Linked DNA regions of Caenorhabditis elegans. The protein of the gene in region 2 purifies or fractionates together with the protein of the main gene of each other region. This does not show direct contact. Each region holds a gene or a part of one and is shown on either strand. Other genes may lie near its edges.

Region 1 (11,190 bases), on a different chromosome or scaffold from region 2:
TTTGAAAGACCCGCAGAAAATTTCTGAAACTTAAAAGATTGAGATGATTCGAATTTTTGTAAAGTATTACTCACGGCAATCTGACAAAACCAATTATTTTCAAAAAATAATGTGAATAAGCTAACCAGGAAATGAGCAATTGTACCTTTTTTGTTGACATATTAATGTTTCCGTTGTACTTCTTTGTGGAGCTCATCAAATTCAATGTCCCCGAAACCAATTAAGTGTTGCTTCTTCTAAAAAAAAGTACGAGGCGTTTCATAAGGGTTTCATTATCTATTACGGTTGCAAGACTAATTTCCAACTAGTCTGTATTTATGGGTGCAAAATTATTAGAGGAAATACAATAGTTTTCCCCACTACCATTTTGTGTATTAGTTCCTTAAACGTCCTAATTCTCCGAAACTTCTGCAAACTCCTGTATGGTTTAATGAGTTTATTTTCTCCAAAAATTCTTCACTTTCACTATCAATTTCCCTCAAATTTGCCTCCACCGCATGACCTCTTCAACATCAAAATTATTATCACCGAATTTTTCTTCATTCGATAAGAATCGAGAGCCATCTTGAAATAGTGTGAACAATCAGGAGACATTAGAGAACAATACAAATGGCGTGAGAAGGGTGAGATGAATCCGGAACTGTCTTGTTTTCTTTAACTCTCCACCCTTTTAAGAGTCTTTATCAACTGATAATTTGAAGGGGACTTCCTGGAGTTTCTGGATTGATCAGAAAAATCACATTTTTCATGATTTTTATTGGAGTTTTCAGAGTCTTTTCTTGATTTATCTCTAGTATTCATTTTCATTTCTACAAATAACTGGCTACAAGTGCTACACTAGACTCAAGTAATTTCATATAGACAGTTGCATGAACATATTGATAATTAATGACTTATCAACTAGAAAACTAGAGGCTACTGTCACGAACATACAAAATAAGTCAACAAAACAAAACATTTAAATAAAGCAGTGACTTATTATTCTGCAGGTTACTGTACTCCGGAGTGAGTCACCAAAATGGGTTTGTTTTGTTCTAGAACATCCCACGTGTGCAATGTTTTTGAACTGTTCTAGATTGATCATATTAGATCAAAAATCATCATTTCCAATTAAAAACGAAAAACCTTAAATGATTGTGTTTTCTTGCCAGTTTTTGATGGAAGCTTGAAACAAAGGTCAATGTTAGGCATTCTCAGATTCCTGGGAATGGCAGAGTCGATTTTCAGACTGAATAAATTTTGGCCGTTTTTTTCGAAGGATAAGACCAATTTTCTGTCGACTCAAAAACGGGGTGAAGCAGTGCATATTACACCCAATTTATATTTAAAAAATCTTAAAAGTACAGGCTGCCAAAGAGTGTATAAATGAATTAGCGTGTGTAAGCGGTTTGTTTTAAAATGGAAAACGTACTCTAAAATCGGAAATACTAGAAAAAAAAAGTTTTTTAAAGCGAATCGCGGATTGGACTTGCAGTTCTCATCATTCTTTTGTTGTATTTCAGAATTTTTTGCCCAGTTTTCCGAACTCGGCAAATTTTGAGATTGCCGCACACCCTTGGCCGAAAGCTCGAACATCAGTTGATTATTTCAGATGAAATTAAATTTCTTATCAATTCCGAACCACCTCTTATTCAAATAATACACAAATTATCTGCTGTCTTCTCATGATATCTAATTATTTCCGGTATCTTTCTTTATTTAAATAATAAAAAAGGACGCGGAACGTACTGTGCTTTCCTTGTTTACAGCACAATCACTCCCGGTTCAGACCTTTATCATGTTATCAATTTTTCCCCATTTTTTTGCTCTTTTTCATTGCCGTGTGCTGCTTTTCGTCATCATTACGTCTGATTCATTCATCATTCTTTGAAAATTCATTGAAATTTTATCGGTTTTTTTGCTCCGCAATCGGTGGAATTTTGGATGATTTCTTTTCTGTAAAAATCTTAATAGTTTATATACCATATTGTATATTAATTGTATATAGTTTGAGGTTGGATCTTCCGTAGGTTTCCCATTTGCTCATGCTCAATTCATTTCCGTTTTTTTTTGGTTGATAACCAGTCCATTTTCTCGCATTTCTCGGCTTCTGTTGCGCAATAGAACGGAGAGAGGAATAGAGAAAGATCAAAGAAAATAGGAAAAAAAACATGAAGGGAAGTGTTAGCTATGCGATTGTACAAAAGACCATTCTATTCATTCATATTCACTAGTTTCTCATTTTTCTAGTGTAGTTTAGGCAATCCCTTCTGAAATTATAAGCACACTCCGTATCGTTTGTATTGTCTAATTGGAAATGCATTTTAAAGGTGTAAGATTTAGAATGATGAGAACACGTTAAACACAAATATCATGTTTATTTTAAGATCCAGATTATCTGAAATTGTCTGACATAGATTTAAAAAAGCATATATTTATTTTCATTTTCAACGTGAAAGTTTAGTCTCTAATTTTGAGATTCGGAAAAGCTGCACAAAACTTTCACGTTAAAAAATTAAAATTTAGTTGAACAACTTCCAAAATCCTATTTTATTATCACTTATGAGTGTTTTAACTGCCGCTATTTCATTTTTAAAACTCACTAGCAGTCAGTTGGATATGCTAAAAATTTGCAGAATAAATTATCAAACTGTTGGAAGTGATTAAAAATTTCAATTTTTGATAATTCAAGAAACATTTTGGCTTTGAAAATTTTAGACCTTTAATTCTAAATAATATTATTTATTCGCATTTTACTGATAATGTTGGAAAAAAGTTCAAAAAGCTTTGGAATTATAAGTGATATTTTTGATATGTTTTGTGTGTGCTGAAATGTTACCCGACTTAAACATTTGGTTTTTCAGATCTTTTTTAAGAATAAGTTCACCGCGAACTTTCTGGAATGCCTTGTGAAAAAAATATTCAGCCTGATGTCTAAACATTTTTTTCAATTTGGCATGAGCAAAAAACACGAATTGTTTAAATCAAAAATGGAAGTCATTAAACTTTTCCTCTGTTTCATGAAAAAAATCACAAAATTAATCTACGGAATCTAATTATCACAAACAATTTCCCTGATCAAAGAAATAACCTCATGTTTTTTTCCATAAGAAAACAAACAATTTCCTTCATTTTTTCTTTAATACTTCTCTCTTCTCCACCCCCGGATTTATTCCCTCTTTTCACAATTTGTATTCAACTGATATATCTAATATATATCTCTAATATTTCTCTCCTTCTTATTTTCTTTCTAGATAATCCCTTTTTTGAGTCTTTTTCAGATTGTTGATAATCCCTCCTCCTTCTATTTTGTTTTTCATTTATTGGTGTTTGTTCAAGATTTCCAATAAAAATAAATTTAGTTTAGGCTCGAAATTTTAAATAAGAGCTAAATATTTGAATCCAGAAATCAATTTTTCCGAATCAAAGTCCGAATTCGAGGAATTTTATCCAATATAAACTTTGTCCTGTGTCTTCTTCTTCTATCATTTTTGTGTCTTTTCCATTTTCTCTCGATTGCATTTTCAGACGGAACTCTACCATCATTTTCAACTGAAAAAGCTATAATCTTCTTATTTTGTGTTGACTTCTAAAAGGTTTTCCGTTTTAAAGTTCTAATGATAGGATGGGGACAAAAGACACAATTTAAAAGAATCTAAATTTTTCCAATGTTTTCCAGAGTATTGAGGAAGAGTTTTAGGGAATTTCTCAACAGGTGTGCTGAAAAAACTTAATTGGGACAATTCGCCAGTTTGGTTCACCAAAAAAAATTCCACGCACTTTTTTGATGAAAAAATTCACAACAATTGAGAAAGTTCAATACAAAAGGTACCTACTATTTCATATGAGCAGTGAAAAAAGTATAAGCCATCTATTTCGCCATCGTATTTCGAGCTAGTCAAATTCCTTGCTCTTATTGTTTTTACTCTCACTTACTTTTTCATTTCTCTTTCTCTCTCTCTCTCCCCCTCCGCCCAAACCACAAAATTTCAAGATGGATTCAACGGCTCGTGGCCACGCCCCTTTGTGTCGAACCAGCAACCAAAGAGGACTTGGAACACGTCTCAATCCATATTATCAATCAACTCCACATCAACCAATGGTACAATCAATGTCAAATCCAATTGGCTCCTACGGAGAACAAGGAAATGCTCAAATTATTGGAAGTTCTGGGCAGGTGCTTTCAACTGGACCACCGCCAGGATTGGCTCCAGTTCAATGCAATGATTTTGACTCTTGTTACAGGTTTGTTATGTTTTCAGATAAAGTGCAGAGAGAAAAAAATTTCAAAAAATTAATTTAGTCTGAAATTATTCAGTTGAAATCATGGGGAGAGATGGCTTGTTCTCGACAAATCTACGGAATTACATTTTAAGAAATGGTAATTCAAAATTAGTAAAAATACATATAAATATTCAACTGATTTGCAAATAATTTATACCTTCGAAGTTTTTGAAAAGGTTTTTAATTATGCTCTTGTTTTGGATGTTAAAATTCAATGACAAATTTATTTGGCCATCGTAAAAAATTTTTTCGCAGAGTTCCTGCAAAAAAGCTTCGAGAAGTTGAACCTTGCATTTCTGTTTGTAAATCGTCACCCACATGCACTTCCGTTAAAAATAATTTTCAGTACAAATGATGGCAAATTAAATTAAGAGTATAAGGAAAAAATATGATAAAACCTCTGTAAATGACTGAAAATAACTATCCCGGAAACAGACAACGTGCATTTCTTTCGCATATTTTTCATATTTTTTCTTTTTTTCCATCAGCCGGAAATTTTGTTCTCATTTTTCTGTAGGTCTTCTTTTTTCAATCCTTGGAGGTTTTTTTTGCAGTTTAATTTGTTTTCAGAGAAATAACTTTTGAGCTTTCTAGTCACTTTTTATGAGTTTGGATTGAGTTTGGATGCACATAAATATTTATAACATTAAACATTTCAGCAATCTCAAAAAAGTTTCAATTCAAATTTTTTACCATTGTTTTTTTGCAGTTCTTGCGACGATATATCCCATCCATCACTGAGTCGCGAATCATCGGATCCAAGCAAAATTGATGGTTAGTAGGAAACAATTATTTTAGATAATTTCAAAGATCCCTGATTTTTATTTAATATTTTCAACAAAATTATATTTGCTCTTAAATCTCAGATGACCAAACAGCGCCAATGATAAGATATCCAGCACCGGAAGTTGTTGAATTCGCCACGAAATTGGGATATTCGACAGAGCAACTAAGTCACGTATTGAATACAATTGGTGTTGATTCTAGAATGGTTCGTGTTTATTACTTCAGAAAAATATTTAAATTAGAACATGTTTGTGACTTTAAAAACACTATACGACAATTTAAGGAAAATAGTTTTCAGATTTTCTAGTAAATTGCGAAAAGTTGGAAATGTCTCACCAAAAATCAAAAATAACAGTATTCAATTGAAATTTCATAAATTTGATTCGAATATTGTCAAACAAAACTAAAAAAATTTCAGGACGACGTGCTCTCAGAACTTGTAAAAATGGGTCTTCCTGGTGGTAAACCAGAAAATTCTGGAAAATCTGGAAGTAGAAATTCTCCTGAACCAATCATGACTTCCTCTGCATCGTCTTCTTCTGCCTCATCATCGTCAAGTCATCGTCCTATTAGACAATCAGTATCAATTGCCACGTCATCACCTGCCACGTCATCATCCACACCATCCAAATACAACCCGGATCCAAGTTTGAGAGCTGTGGTTGTTGATGGATCAAATGTTGCAATGTTGTAAGTTGACGCAAAACAAATGGTAGAAAAATACATAGATAGAAACGGAGATTTTGAATAAGCAGTGGAGATATTCACGATATATTTTAAGTACAAAAGAACTAAAACATTCCAAAAAATAACTGACAATTACAATCTAATCATTACCAGAAAAATAAGAAGATTACGGTAGTTTCTGGTTTAACATAAAACAATGACAGACTACGTGTCTTCTTCTCATAACTAAGTGACCACAGACCTTGTCACCCGCCTACCGGAAGTATTTGTCTATGTTTCTCTCACATTCTCTCTTGTTTTTATAAACTCTCTCATCTTTTCTACAAAAATGAGCTCTGTTCCTGTGCCGTTTCTCCCACTGTGTCCGCCGCCGCTCCTGCTTCCGCGCCAAAATAGTCTGTTATTTTTGCCAACTTTCTTCTTGCCTTGCTCCGATCGTTTTTGGCTTCTATATGTCTCTCATAATCCTATGTGCTCTCTCACTTCTTATGAGCAAATATGAAAGTTTTGCGCCCTCTCTTTCTCCGGATTGACTGCTTTCCGCAGCGGATGCCCTGGGAAGAAACATAATGTCAATAGAGGGATAGAGAGAGGGAGACAGAGAGAAACGGAAAACGGCACCCTCTCTTGATCATCATGATTTATTCACCATTTTCCATGATTCTCAGAATTTTTCATGATTTTTCTGTTTTTTTGTTGTTGAAAAGTATATCTTATCTAGTTGTTAAAATGTTGGTTTTTACCATTAAAACAGTCTTTACTAAACTTTACAAAACAGTTCAAAACTTGTCGATCTAATTATTTTAATCTATTCTATTTACCCATTTGAAATAATCATTTTCAGACACGGCCGTAAAGAAGTCTTCTCGTGTGCAGGTCTCCGCGAGTGTCTCAATTATTTTCTGGAACGGGGACATCCGGAAGTTCTCATATTTATTCCCCAATACAGGTAAGTGTGAAAACGACACTTGAAATTTCTGTAATACAGTAGTCTACTGTAGTTTCCATAAAAATTTACGGTACGTGATTGTAAGTCATTTGGTTTTTAATGTTAATTTGACCATGGCTACGGAATTATTAAATGAATATAATTCTGAAAATATGAGTTTTCAGAAGAGAACAACCACGATCGGATAGCCCTATCACAGATCAACATATCCTACAGGAAATCGAACGACATATCATTTATACTCCTTCTAGGTGCGCCTTACGACATTTAAATACTTAGTGTATAATTTACACTCAAAAAAACTTGATCCAGAAACTGGCAAATCTGGAGTTAAACTTGGACAAAACTTGGTTTATGACAAACTCGAGTTGAGTCCAAATCCCAACTCTTGTCAATGACTTACCCTTGTTTAAAAAAAACATAGGAAAAGTTTGGATCGAGTCAAAAATAGTTGCAGCTTAAACCAAGTCTTCTCAAAATTGTCTCCCACATTTGCCAGAGCTTTTCCAGCTTCTGCACCAATTTAATTTTTTGGTCACATTTTTAGTTGTTTTACTTGAGAATATCATCGGTAAGAATTGGTCTGAGCTCAATTTGTGAACTTTACGTTAGCAATTTTCAATGTCTTGTTAAAAATTGAGTATCATAGTTTCCATATTAAATAGAATATGTAATAATTTTCAGAAACGTTAACGGTCGTCGAGTTGTCTGCCACGACGATAGATATATTCTCAGGACTGCTGAACTAAAAGACGCTGTAATTGTGTCAAACGACGAATATCGTGACTTGACACGTGAGAATCCTGCGTGGAGGAAGATTGTCGAGGAGAGACTTCTTATGTTCACTTTTGTTGAGGATAAGTCAGTTTTTTAAATTACTTTGAGATAATATTGTTTAATAGACAAATAAAATGCCATAAAATCTTATGTTAATTGACTATGTATTAGATATGGAATAGATTGAATGGGGGATTTGCTGTAAAATTAGCGGAACAATTCATAATTTTGAACCCAATCACCCAAAGTAAAACTGAATTTTCTCCAAAACGAGAACTGTAGTCTCAGGACCAATCAGCAAATATCTCCATCCACATTTGAATCAATCAGTGAAGTTCCACTTCGTACACTTTTATAAATTGGTTCAGAAGTGGGGATAAGCTGTTCACTGATTGGTCTTGCAATTCTTATTGTGGAGGGAATGCAAACATAGAGTATGAACTAGGAGAGAATCACGCTTCGAAAATTGCATGATTTCATTTTGTTGTAAAATATCTAAATGTGTGAACTATTTCAGGTTTTTTTTTGAAGTGCCATTCACTCTATTTCACATTTAAATGCCTACCTAATTATCGTACTAACCGATTCGCCGGAAAAAATAAATAAAAATTTTCGAGATCATGAAATCAACAAATAAACATTCTGCTAATTGAGGTGTTCATCCGTGTTGTTTTGAGGTGTTTCTTGTGTTTTCTATTCGTTCTCCTCTATTCAAATATTTGCACTTCGACCTGTTTTCCTGCACTTTTTCCTCTTTTTTTCCGAAAAGTCTGTGAACAAAAGAGCAAAGCTCTGATTGCACTTTTTCTCACTTTTGGAGACAAAAAACATCAAGACTTTTGTGTTTTTTTTTTAAGTTAGTTTATAGAATAATAAACTTTAGAAGCTAGGATTGTTCTAAAAAAATTCAATTTTTTTAAATATCGTCTTTCCTAATACTCAGTAAATTCAGATTTATGCCACCGGATGATCCATCAGGTCGTCATGGTCCGCGAATCGAAAGCTTCTTATCAAAAGTTCCTGTAGTTTCATCAAATCCTCTTGTGTGTCCATATGCAAGAAAATGTACATATGGGAATAAATGCAAATTTTATCATCCAGAAAGAGCAAATGGGCAACATATGAGTGTAACTGAGCGATTGATGAAAGAGAATCAACAGAAAAAATCATTGGGTGCAGGTATGTTTTGGTTGAATTAAACCCCACCCGTATAATTTTATATTTTTAATTTTAAAATTTTAAAATTTTAAAATTTGTTTTTCAAATTTGTCAGATTTCAAATTTTCAACCCTAATTTTTCTCCATTCTTTTTGGCTGTTTGTAACATTTTGTGCCAAAAACAGAGTACTTTAACAGCTCAAAAACCACTAGAAAATCGTTTTGAATTGATGATATGAAAACATTTTTTGACAGAAAATTTCATGAAAGTTTAGGTTTGCTTTAAAAAAAATTATATTTCCTAAAAGGGACTCAAAGTGCTTGTCAAATGTTGAAACCCTCAAAAACTCATTTTCGTGGCTAAAAAAATGTCGTTTAGGCAAATTCAGCGTAAAATAGAACTTGAATAATTTTTGATTGAATTCGGAGGTACAGACTTGAGTTTCGCCCCACAAATTGTTGTGGTCTCTGTTCAATTGATTGACTTGTTTTCCTTATTAAATTGATAAACACACACCTAAAACTGATCTTGTATATTCCTAAATTAAATTCAAAATTTCAGTAAAATCGATGCAATACGAAATGTTCAAGAACAAGCATGCAGCTTTATCACGTACTCAATCATTGAATGTTGTTAAACAACTCACAGAAAACATGTCCCAACTTCCTCCAACTCCTGAGAGCCCCATGCAAATGCCACGTCAGCATATGCAATTACAACAAGCAAATAGTGCTCCATGGCAACAACATACAGTTGTTCAAAGACATGGATCATCTCCATTAACACCCGTAAATCGGCAAATGAATGGTTAGTTTTATGATTTCAAAAAATTAAAGTGCATTTATTTTCTTACCAAAATTATAAAATTTATGTAATTAATTAATACACTTACACTTACTTTCAACTTGCAGTTTTTTCAAAAACCTATCTTCAAAAAAATATAGAATCATGTTTGAACAAAATCGTGCACTACCTAGTTTATATTACGAAACCATCAGTTCATGAGAATGCCTACTTTCTGGCGCGAAAATAGCGGCAAAGAGAGATTTAGGTGCCTTCGCTACGAGATATTCCCGCGCCAAAACGTCAGGCATTCTCATGATCTCATGGTTTCTTAATAGCAATTTTCCTTCCCAAAGATACGGTAGCCGGTCTTGAAATATTTTCAAATGAACGTTGCGCAATAAAATCTAGGTCTTTAATCAGTACAGCAACCCTATTCCCGCTGCTAAAAAACACATGAATATCTGGATAACATTTGTAAAATAACAGGGGATGAATTGCTGTACAAACACATCGCCACCACCGTTTGAAAAAATATTATTCGTGTCGAGACCAACTTTACAAAACCTAAACAATTATTATTTCAGTTTATCCAGATATGTATAACATGTCTCAACAACAAAATCATCAAGTCCTTCCTAACCAACACGGAGTAATTGGGGGTCAACGTCCGCCGAAAATGACAACTACAGTATCCCAGACACACCTTTTCGCACCTTCGACAGCTGTTTGGGGACACTCTGAATTATCCGTTGGACCTGTGAATACTGGGTTAGTTTTAAAACATTTAATTTTGGATATTTCGAAAAATCATTTTGAAAAACAATTACAATTTCCGGATTCAAAGCTTTATCGAAATTACATTTTCAGATCTGATGAAAGTCTAGCAGAAGTTCGTTCACGTGTACATTTTCATCTTTGCAACATATTTCCGCATGATTTCGTTGAATCTGTGATGGCAGCCAATCCAGAAGAAGTAAATGCTCCGGTGCTTTGTGAGCTCATTATCCGAGCTCAAAAAGAGTACCGAAAATGATTCAATCAATATTATTATTTATTACATATTCTCACCGAATAACCTGTTACCCAACCTTCCATCCCCGTTCCATACTCGGTTCATTTGATTTTTTAAGAGATTTATATTCTTAAAAAGCGTGTTCCAGTGTGAGTGATTGCCACGTAGAATCATTCTGATTCAAAGATTTTTATTTAATTAATTAATTCATCCATAAGTGACGAATTTGATAATGTTTGTATTTAAATTTTTGTAAAGAATGTAATGAACATTTGTATTTAAAGAATTGTGATTAATGATGCTTCATGAATTAAAACACACATAAAACATGTTTAATTAAAATTAAACAGACGCGGATTCGCCGAAAAATATTACCATAATCTGTTAAAGGCGCGTACATGAAAAATTTGTAGGGGTCTCGTCGAGAAAATAGTTTGGCGCAGCTTTAAATGCAAACTTTGTAAAACTGAATTCAGTTTCATTTTTCCCCTAAAATTTTTGGTAGTTTTACAATTAAAAATCAACTTCTATGGACTGAGCATGGAGAAATCAAATGAAAGTAAGTTCTTTTTAGAATATAAATTCGTTAAAATGTTTCCTATTCGTTTTTTCAAACGCGTTGCCTTTTTCGGAAAGCTAATTGTAAACACAGTTTTGAAAAATTTATGAGTAATTATATTTTTGAAACGAGAAATTATCGCGAAAATATTATCATATTCCGAAATTTTCTTCTAATTTTGATACCAATAAGACTTTCTAAAGTTTCAGATT
Region 2 (7,163 bases):
AGATGATATTATTGGAAATATGACGGATTTGTGTAGCAGTGTAATTGTAATAATTGAATTTGTCCGATGGTTTTCCGATTTTAACTGTATATTTCCAGAAGTGTTATGGAGAGTATGAGTGCCAAGAATCTGCGAATTATAAAAAGAAATTTGAGCGGGAATGCGCCGAAATGAAAATTTCGAATGCCAGAGTTAAGGAGTGCATGCTAGAAATTTATGGCGCAATTTTCGAGGACACATACAACTGTACAAAGAACTTTGACTGGTTAGCAGTGAGTTTTTGAAAGTTTTGTTTAGATGGAACGAATTTAAATTCACAAACGATAAAACAATTTACGGCTATTTTCAATTTTGAAATTGTCAAATTTTCCAGCACACATGTTCCGACATCTTCCGAGTTTTCTAGCATTGCTGAAATGTCGGTCGTCGATAAATTATGGATGATTTTCTACCGAAATTACTTGCATTTTGGATTTTGAATTTGATAATTTTCAGAAAGATCCTGTAACCAAGCGAAATGCGTATCTTTCTGGAAAGGATTGTTTTATGGAAATTGTAACCAATGATTGTTCTAACAGTTCAGTTATGTATTTCTCTTCTCAATATGAACACTTTGTGGATCTAATCTCAATTAAACCTGATGGAGAACCTTGTGTTGGTCTGTACTATGAGCTAAACGAGCTTCGCTGCAATGAGCCAGTTTCTCAATTTTCTTTACAATTTGTTACTCTTTTTGCAAAACTTATGCCACCAATGGTGATGAATCAATCCGAAAGCGACGAAGCAAATGAATTTACGAATTTGCTGAAGCATGATGATTCAGACACCTCAAAGATTTGCATGTATGTACAGGTGCATTGTTTAAAACTTTTTGTAATCTAAACTCTAAAAACTTCTTCAGGACTGTCTGGTAGATTCCTGTACATTCTCCAAAAAGAAAGGGATCAGCGAATATTTAGACGTAGTCTGTGGCGAGTTGGAAAAAATGGACAATATAAATGAAAAATTTGTCGATTGCCTCGACTTTTTTCGAGACGATAATTCAACTTTAAGCAACTGTGTGAAAAATTACGAAACATCGAAAACTGTGGAAAATGCTCCAGTCGTATTGAAAAACTGCATTAAAAATGGAATCGAGGCTAAATGTGGAGCTGCTGCACTGGAGAATTTCGATAATAATTATGAATTTTATTTTACAAAAGGAATGTTGAAGAAACCTTGATCGTTATGAATCTTGGATGTAATTCCATTTTTTTGTTTAATGTGCAATTATGCCCCAGTTGACAGCTGATATGTACTTCCAGGAAGCACTTTTGTGCGGGAACCTGAATGATTTTCATTCAATCGACGTCTCTAAAAGAAAAACCACTCACAAGTAACATATCGTTTGAAATCTTTGATACAAAACATTGCAATAAGTGGCTCCAGCGACGGATATATTGCCACACTAGCTGCTGCAAGGCTCGCCAGTTTGCTAACATACACTTCGAAAAATGGCATGCTAAGCAACAAAAATTAAAAAAAAAAGGTCGTGTAAATTTAAAATGTGTCATCTAAAACAATAATTTGTGAAGACTTCTATGAATTTGATTTTAAAAAATTTGTTTTGGAAGATCACTATATATGTGGAGCACACTAAATACATCACGTTAAATAAACTACCGTTTACCTGAAATATTAGAGTTCTGAAAAACTGGCGATTCAATTCCATTGTCTTTGCACTCATATGAACTTGATTTTTCTTCAACGATGAATATAGGTTTGTTGCACAAAATATAATTGTTGAAAAGCAAATAATCTGAAAAAGAACAAATGTTTAACAAAGCTTTAATTCAATTGGTATTATTTACTTTTAGTATATTACAACTTACAATAATCACCGCACATCCAAGTGCGCATGTTGGTTTTGTGGTCAACGCACACAATTTCCAAAATGTTCCAAATTTTCTCCCCATTTTCCCCAATCGACCAGTACATTGGAGCAATAAAAGAGATCTTGGTAGAATCTTCATCATAACAAGCTCTCAGTTCTTCTCTATAAGTTATTAACTTTTATAAACAAACATATTTAAATGCTTACTCAATATATTCCTGTTTCTCTACGGTGTTGGCCATTCCAAAATAAACCAACAAATTCCATGCAAAGAAACAAATAAAACACGGAATAAATATCAGACTCAGTTTGAAACCTTCAATGCTAGGTAATGCGTCCGGCCTAATATATAGAAAACTCATTTTTATAAGAATATTTCAAAATACCTGCATATCGCGATATATATGTAGAAAAACTGAGCTGCGAGGAGAGATATTACAAGAGCATATGAACCGCAAAAAAGGCCTGGATAATTCGAAATGAGAAGTTTTGATATCTTTTCAAACGGTAATACTTTGTTTTCAGCTTTAAAGTTATATCAATTAACCTACATGTAATATTGTTTCCAATCCATTTATGATATTTCAAAGGGCTATCCATGTAGACAATAAATACTAGGCCTTTTATATGGATTACCTAAAGTTCTTTTATTAATTTTATTCCACAACCGGATGTGTTATTATTTCAATCCAGGCATACATCAACGAGTTTAAAGCAAATGTTGTCATAACATAACGATATGCTCCAAAGTGTTTTCCAGATTTTTTAACGAGCAAGTAAACAAAAAATGAGTTTGTGATCTGGGCGGCAAAAAATCCAATGTACTGAATTGTATGCAGCGGGCATTTTTTGTGTCTTTAAAATCAAAGGTTTTCTGTTTCTAGTTGGATAAAGACTATACTAGAGCAGGAAATGTAGGTGCTACCGGACTTTTGAATGAAACATGCTTCATTCAAAAGACAGTGTTGATAAATGGATAGATATGAATTTTGAGCTGCGAAATTTCAGAAGTGAGCTATCTGAGAGCTCAGAGAAGCTCGATTGCAAATGCCTTTCACTTTCGTAATTTCATAAAACGTTTGGGAGAGCTCTGAAAAGAACCCATTTTTTCCAGAAATCTGATATTTTGTTAAACAAAAGAATGAATTTTGCTTTTGAAGCACTTTAAAAGATCAGTTCTGAGCTTAAAATTCATACTTAACCATTTCTCAGTGTGCGCTTTCAAATGGAACATGCCTCGTTTACATGTCCAGTGGCACCTTCTCTAGTTAGATTCTTTTATTTGATAAAAAGTACTTTTCGTTCAAAAATTTATGACTCAGTACAGTTCATCATACAGTTTATATACTGCTTATAATACAAAGAACAACGTTTTTTCGATACCTATTAAATTTGGATTAAAATCGATTATTGCGACTAACTATAAATAAATCACATTTCATTCATTTTTTGCTCCCACTAAAATGCGGAAACCAACTCTTTTGGTATGTCTAGTAATGTCATATTTCAACTTTGTTGATTCTAAATCCAACCTATTGAATTCTCCCCTCAGAGTTTGTACACCAAAAGAGCAATTTGTGCTAGAAGGAAAATGCCTACGGTATGTGAACGATTTGATGTATCTAACAGAGGAATATCCACCAACTCAAATTACTGTGCCAATTGCCAAGAACATGAGTAGCGCATGTGAAAAAATTACTGTATGCTTTTGTTACTAAGACTTTTACACATTATCGTAACGATTTCAGAGTTGTTTTGCGGAAATTGAATGTGATGAAGCTCAGAGAAGCAAGGAAGTTTATGAGAGAAAATGCGAAAAAATAGAGTTCAATAACTACAAGATGCAAGAATGTATCCCAAAGTTTTATGAGACGGTCTATAACAAGTCACGCCATTGCACAGTCGAATTTGACTTTTTCTCGGTAATCATTATATATTGATAAGAAGTAGGGTTGTTATGAGGGGCCAAATTATTAGGACACTCCAGGAACTAATGTTCGAAACCTGATAGAAATATGAAATAATTAATAGTAGGAAAAAGTAGTATTTCCCTACTTGTATTTTCCGGATGCGTGACTACTCCATAATAACAATTTGTATGCCTTTTTTTATTTTTGTTTTCAAATGAATTTTGAAAGGATTGGCATTTATCAGATTAGCATAATGCGTCAACTTTTAGACGGATTTGAAAACTCGACGTGATGCATATATTAATGGAAAATCGTGTGTTGTGAGTATCGCCAACGAAAGAAGGTGTGATGAGAAAGCACTGGAATATTTGAACTCAAGTTATGACAAGTTTGTGGATATTATGAGCATCAAACCAGACGAGAAAAAATGTTCTTCATTACACGATGAAATGATATCAAAACAATGCCAACCTGTGCTCTTGAAATTGGGAAATGGTGTAGTTGGATCACTTGATAAGCTTATCAAAAATGCAAATGAGACGAAGCCTGCTGTTGAAAACAGACCGGATGTTTGTGATGAGTTGCAGGTAATTTTTGACTTATCTGATAGTGAATATTTTATCTTATATTCAAAGTATACCAGATTATTATGTTGTCATTGTCGTTTAACCAGATGAACTTTAACAGTATGAACTTTTATAGGTACGAGGTAGGCATAGGTAACACTTTTGTATGTGTGATTTTATAAAATCAAGAATTTGTTTTGGTATTCGAAATTTGTTTGGAATATCATAATAATTTTTAATTGAGTTTCTGAAGAAGCTTGTTGTTATTGTGCCTGAAGTTGAAAAAAACATTTCAGAATTGTCTTCAAAAAAGTTGTTTTTACACCCAGCATAACCAGACAAATGCCAATGCATACAAAGAAGGTTGTGAAAAGCTAACTCTTGTACCGTTCTCACTTTGCAAATTCCAAGTCATGATTAGTCCCACTTCGACAAGTTATAAGTGCGTCATCGACAGTTTACTTAATCCAAGTTCAACAATGCCTCGCAACAGTTTCTTGGAAGACAAGGAATGTATGAGAACTATGATGGGAGGAATATGTGGAGCTGCAATTTTGGAAAATTTTGACCGCGATTGGGAAGCATCTAAAACTGCGGATTTGTTTTGATAATAAAGTCCTGTCAATTGCCCATTTTTTTAATACTAAAAATCTAGAAAAAATTAAATTTGATTGTTTTCTAATTTTTTTCAAAAGCTTAAATAATCCCGCATAATGAATTCTCACATGTTTATCGGTTATGGATGAAATTAAAGTTCAATTGAATGTTTCATTAGATCTTTCTCAAAATTGCAATTCGAAAATCTTAACTAAAAATCATTTCATACATCAAACTCCTGCTGAATTCTTTTGGAAGAATTGACAACATTGGAGCAAGGAGACAAACATGAAGATCTTTCAGTAGTTTCTGCTGCTTTTCCAGAGTAGCAATAACTCCAATCAGATCTACATATCGAGTTGGGCCGCTGGAATTCAAACTTTGAAGACAGTAAACCAGCAACATTTCAGAGTAAAAACTTCGACCTTTTTCTAGTTTGTATTGAGCGTTGCTTGACAGATTGGGAATCGCTGAAAACTTGACAAAAAGTTTTTCTTTAATTTCTGACGTGAACTTCGATGTTTGGGGGTCAGGTCTCACTTGAAAATATTCTTACCTGGATTACAGATGAATATCATTTTGAGCAATAAGTATTCAATGTAGTGAACTCCAACTCTCATCAGAGCATAAAACACCATTGCAAATGTAGAATACTGGGGTTCACTTGAATTTTAATTGATTTTAATTATTTGCCAAAATTTGAACCTACGATTTTTTGGGTCGTTGAGTGCCATCCGGTTGGCGAAGATCTTCATATTTATTTTTCAATGTGTAATATGCAGAATGTAAATTTGAACAACCAACTACAACATGCCTCATCAAGATCAACTGGTCCTTTGTGTCAAGTTTTAGAAAAAATGGGAAGGTTTTCAAGAATTCGATTGATGTGAGCAAATTGAAAAATCTCCACTGTTTTCTGGAAAACTGCCTTTATTGACAAATTTCATATTTTTTAAATCGTACCTATGAGGTGAATAAGTTTTGAAATTATAATCCAAATTTGAGCTAGCAAAAATATGATTTGGGTGGTAAGGCCATCCAGGGAAAGGCTGAAAATCGGGGAAAAACTTCAAAATTATACTTGTTCACTGAATCTAACACAGTTACCCCAAATTTATTAGAAAGGCTCAGTTTGCTGGAGCAACGTAACAAATCTTCCAGTCCTCCAATTTCGGTCCAATTTGGGTTATAAGCCGATAGTCTGAATTGCTCAAGTTTGCAATCCAAATAGGTTAGCTCGTTAATCACATCTTTAATTTTCTCTTCTTTGGAGTTTTTTAAGCTTTGAGTCAAGTTTTTAGTTGTTCGAAAATTTAAAGCATTTGGGTTCATTCCAACTAAAAGACATTTTTTGAAGCGGCAAGCTCGACAACGAAGAAGTGGTTCAGCTGAAAATTGTAATTACGGATTGAGAATTTAATGAGAAATACAGAAAAGTATTTTCCGGTAAATTAAAATTTAAAAATTCAAACTAACTTCTCTTGTCTAAATCAAAACAGTCACTATTTATATAGCACCGTAGCTCAGATTTCAATAAATACATCCGACGGAAAAACGTTTTGCAGCCCTTACAAGTTGCCACGTCACAATGATGACCATGTGCCGGCCGATTACATATTTTACAGTTGAAGGGTGAAGGGAACTGAAATTATGAGCATTTTAAAATTATTGTAATAATCGGAGACAAACGAAAAAATTTTCAAGCATGTTATGAACGTCTTTAACTTTGACTTTAATGTTGGGAAATTATTTCTTAATATTATGTCTGAATGCCTGAACAAAAAACACGTTTTCACTTATCGGAAAAAAAACAACTTACTTTTAAAATAGAATTATTAGCAACCTGATGTAAAAAATCCATTGTACTGAAGAATACTACAATTTGCCAACTTAACTAAAAAATCATCTAGACGATCTAAGATGTTATCTAATTAATAGTGCATTACGTTCTACAACCGGCCATATGCCATATTTTGACCTTCATTGATCTGTGATGTCGTCGATGTCTCATTGGTAGAAACACATGTTTCTGAATTGCAGTGGAGCGCAGTTGTTGATTACCTTGTTGAACAGTCATTTGCGAAAACTTCCTAATCACTACCTCATCAGACATTCCATGAGTTGTTGAATTTGCCAATTATTGGATGCACAAAGTAGGTTTTAGTTTAGTTAGTTTCATTATTTCCAAAACAAAATATGACATTTATAAATAGTTCC

What was found.
Region 1: the proteins of C12D5.9 (region 2) and rege-1 fractionate together in Caenorhabditis elegans (co-fractionation; one large-scale study listed by BioGRID). This does not show direct contact.

What each region holds. Positions count from the first base shown.
Region 1 is NC_003279.8:6,953,923-6,965,112, reverse strand, and holds rege-1 (Endoribonuclease rege-1), read left to right. Parts: upstream 1-3,973; coding exon 3,974-4,224; intron 4,225-4,972; coding exon 4,973-5,037; intron 5,038-5,129; coding exon 5,130-5,254; intron 5,255-5,467; coding exon 5,468-5,739; intron 5,740-6,580; coding exon 6,581-6,685; intron 6,686-6,849; coding exon 6,850-6,936; intron 6,937-7,369; coding exon 7,370-7,546; intron 7,547-8,414; coding exon 8,415-8,641; intron 8,642-9,182; coding exon 9,183-9,428; intron 9,429-9,991; coding exon 9,992-10,175; intron 10,176-10,274; coding exon 10,275-10,440; 3' UTR 10,441-10,699; downstream 10,700-11,190. Other genes in the region: T10B11.8 (BACK domain-containing protein), read left to right, coding at 10,960-10,978, 11,182-11,190. UniProt on the Caenorhabditis elegans protein: Endonuclease which binds to the 3'UTR of target mRNAs and induces degradation of the transcript.
Region 2 is NC_003283.11:7,686,150-7,693,312, reverse strand, and holds C12D5.9 (T20D4.11-like domain-containing protein), read left to right. Parts: upstream 1-3,324; 5' UTR 3,325-3,336; coding exon 3,337-3,573; intron 3,574-3,621; coding exon 3,622-3,795; intron 3,796-4,052; coding exon 4,053-4,370; intron 4,371-4,645; coding exon 4,646-4,957; 3' UTR 4,958-5,120; downstream 5,121-7,163. Other genes in the region: C12D5.10 (T20D4.11-like domain-containing protein), read left to right, coding at 1-46, 99-272, 496-852, 902-1,222; nhr-152 (Nuclear Hormone Receptor family), read right to left, coding at 5,154-5,416, 5,503-5,609, 5,656-5,862, 5,910-5,995, 6,054-6,334, 6,423-6,588, 6,766-6,807.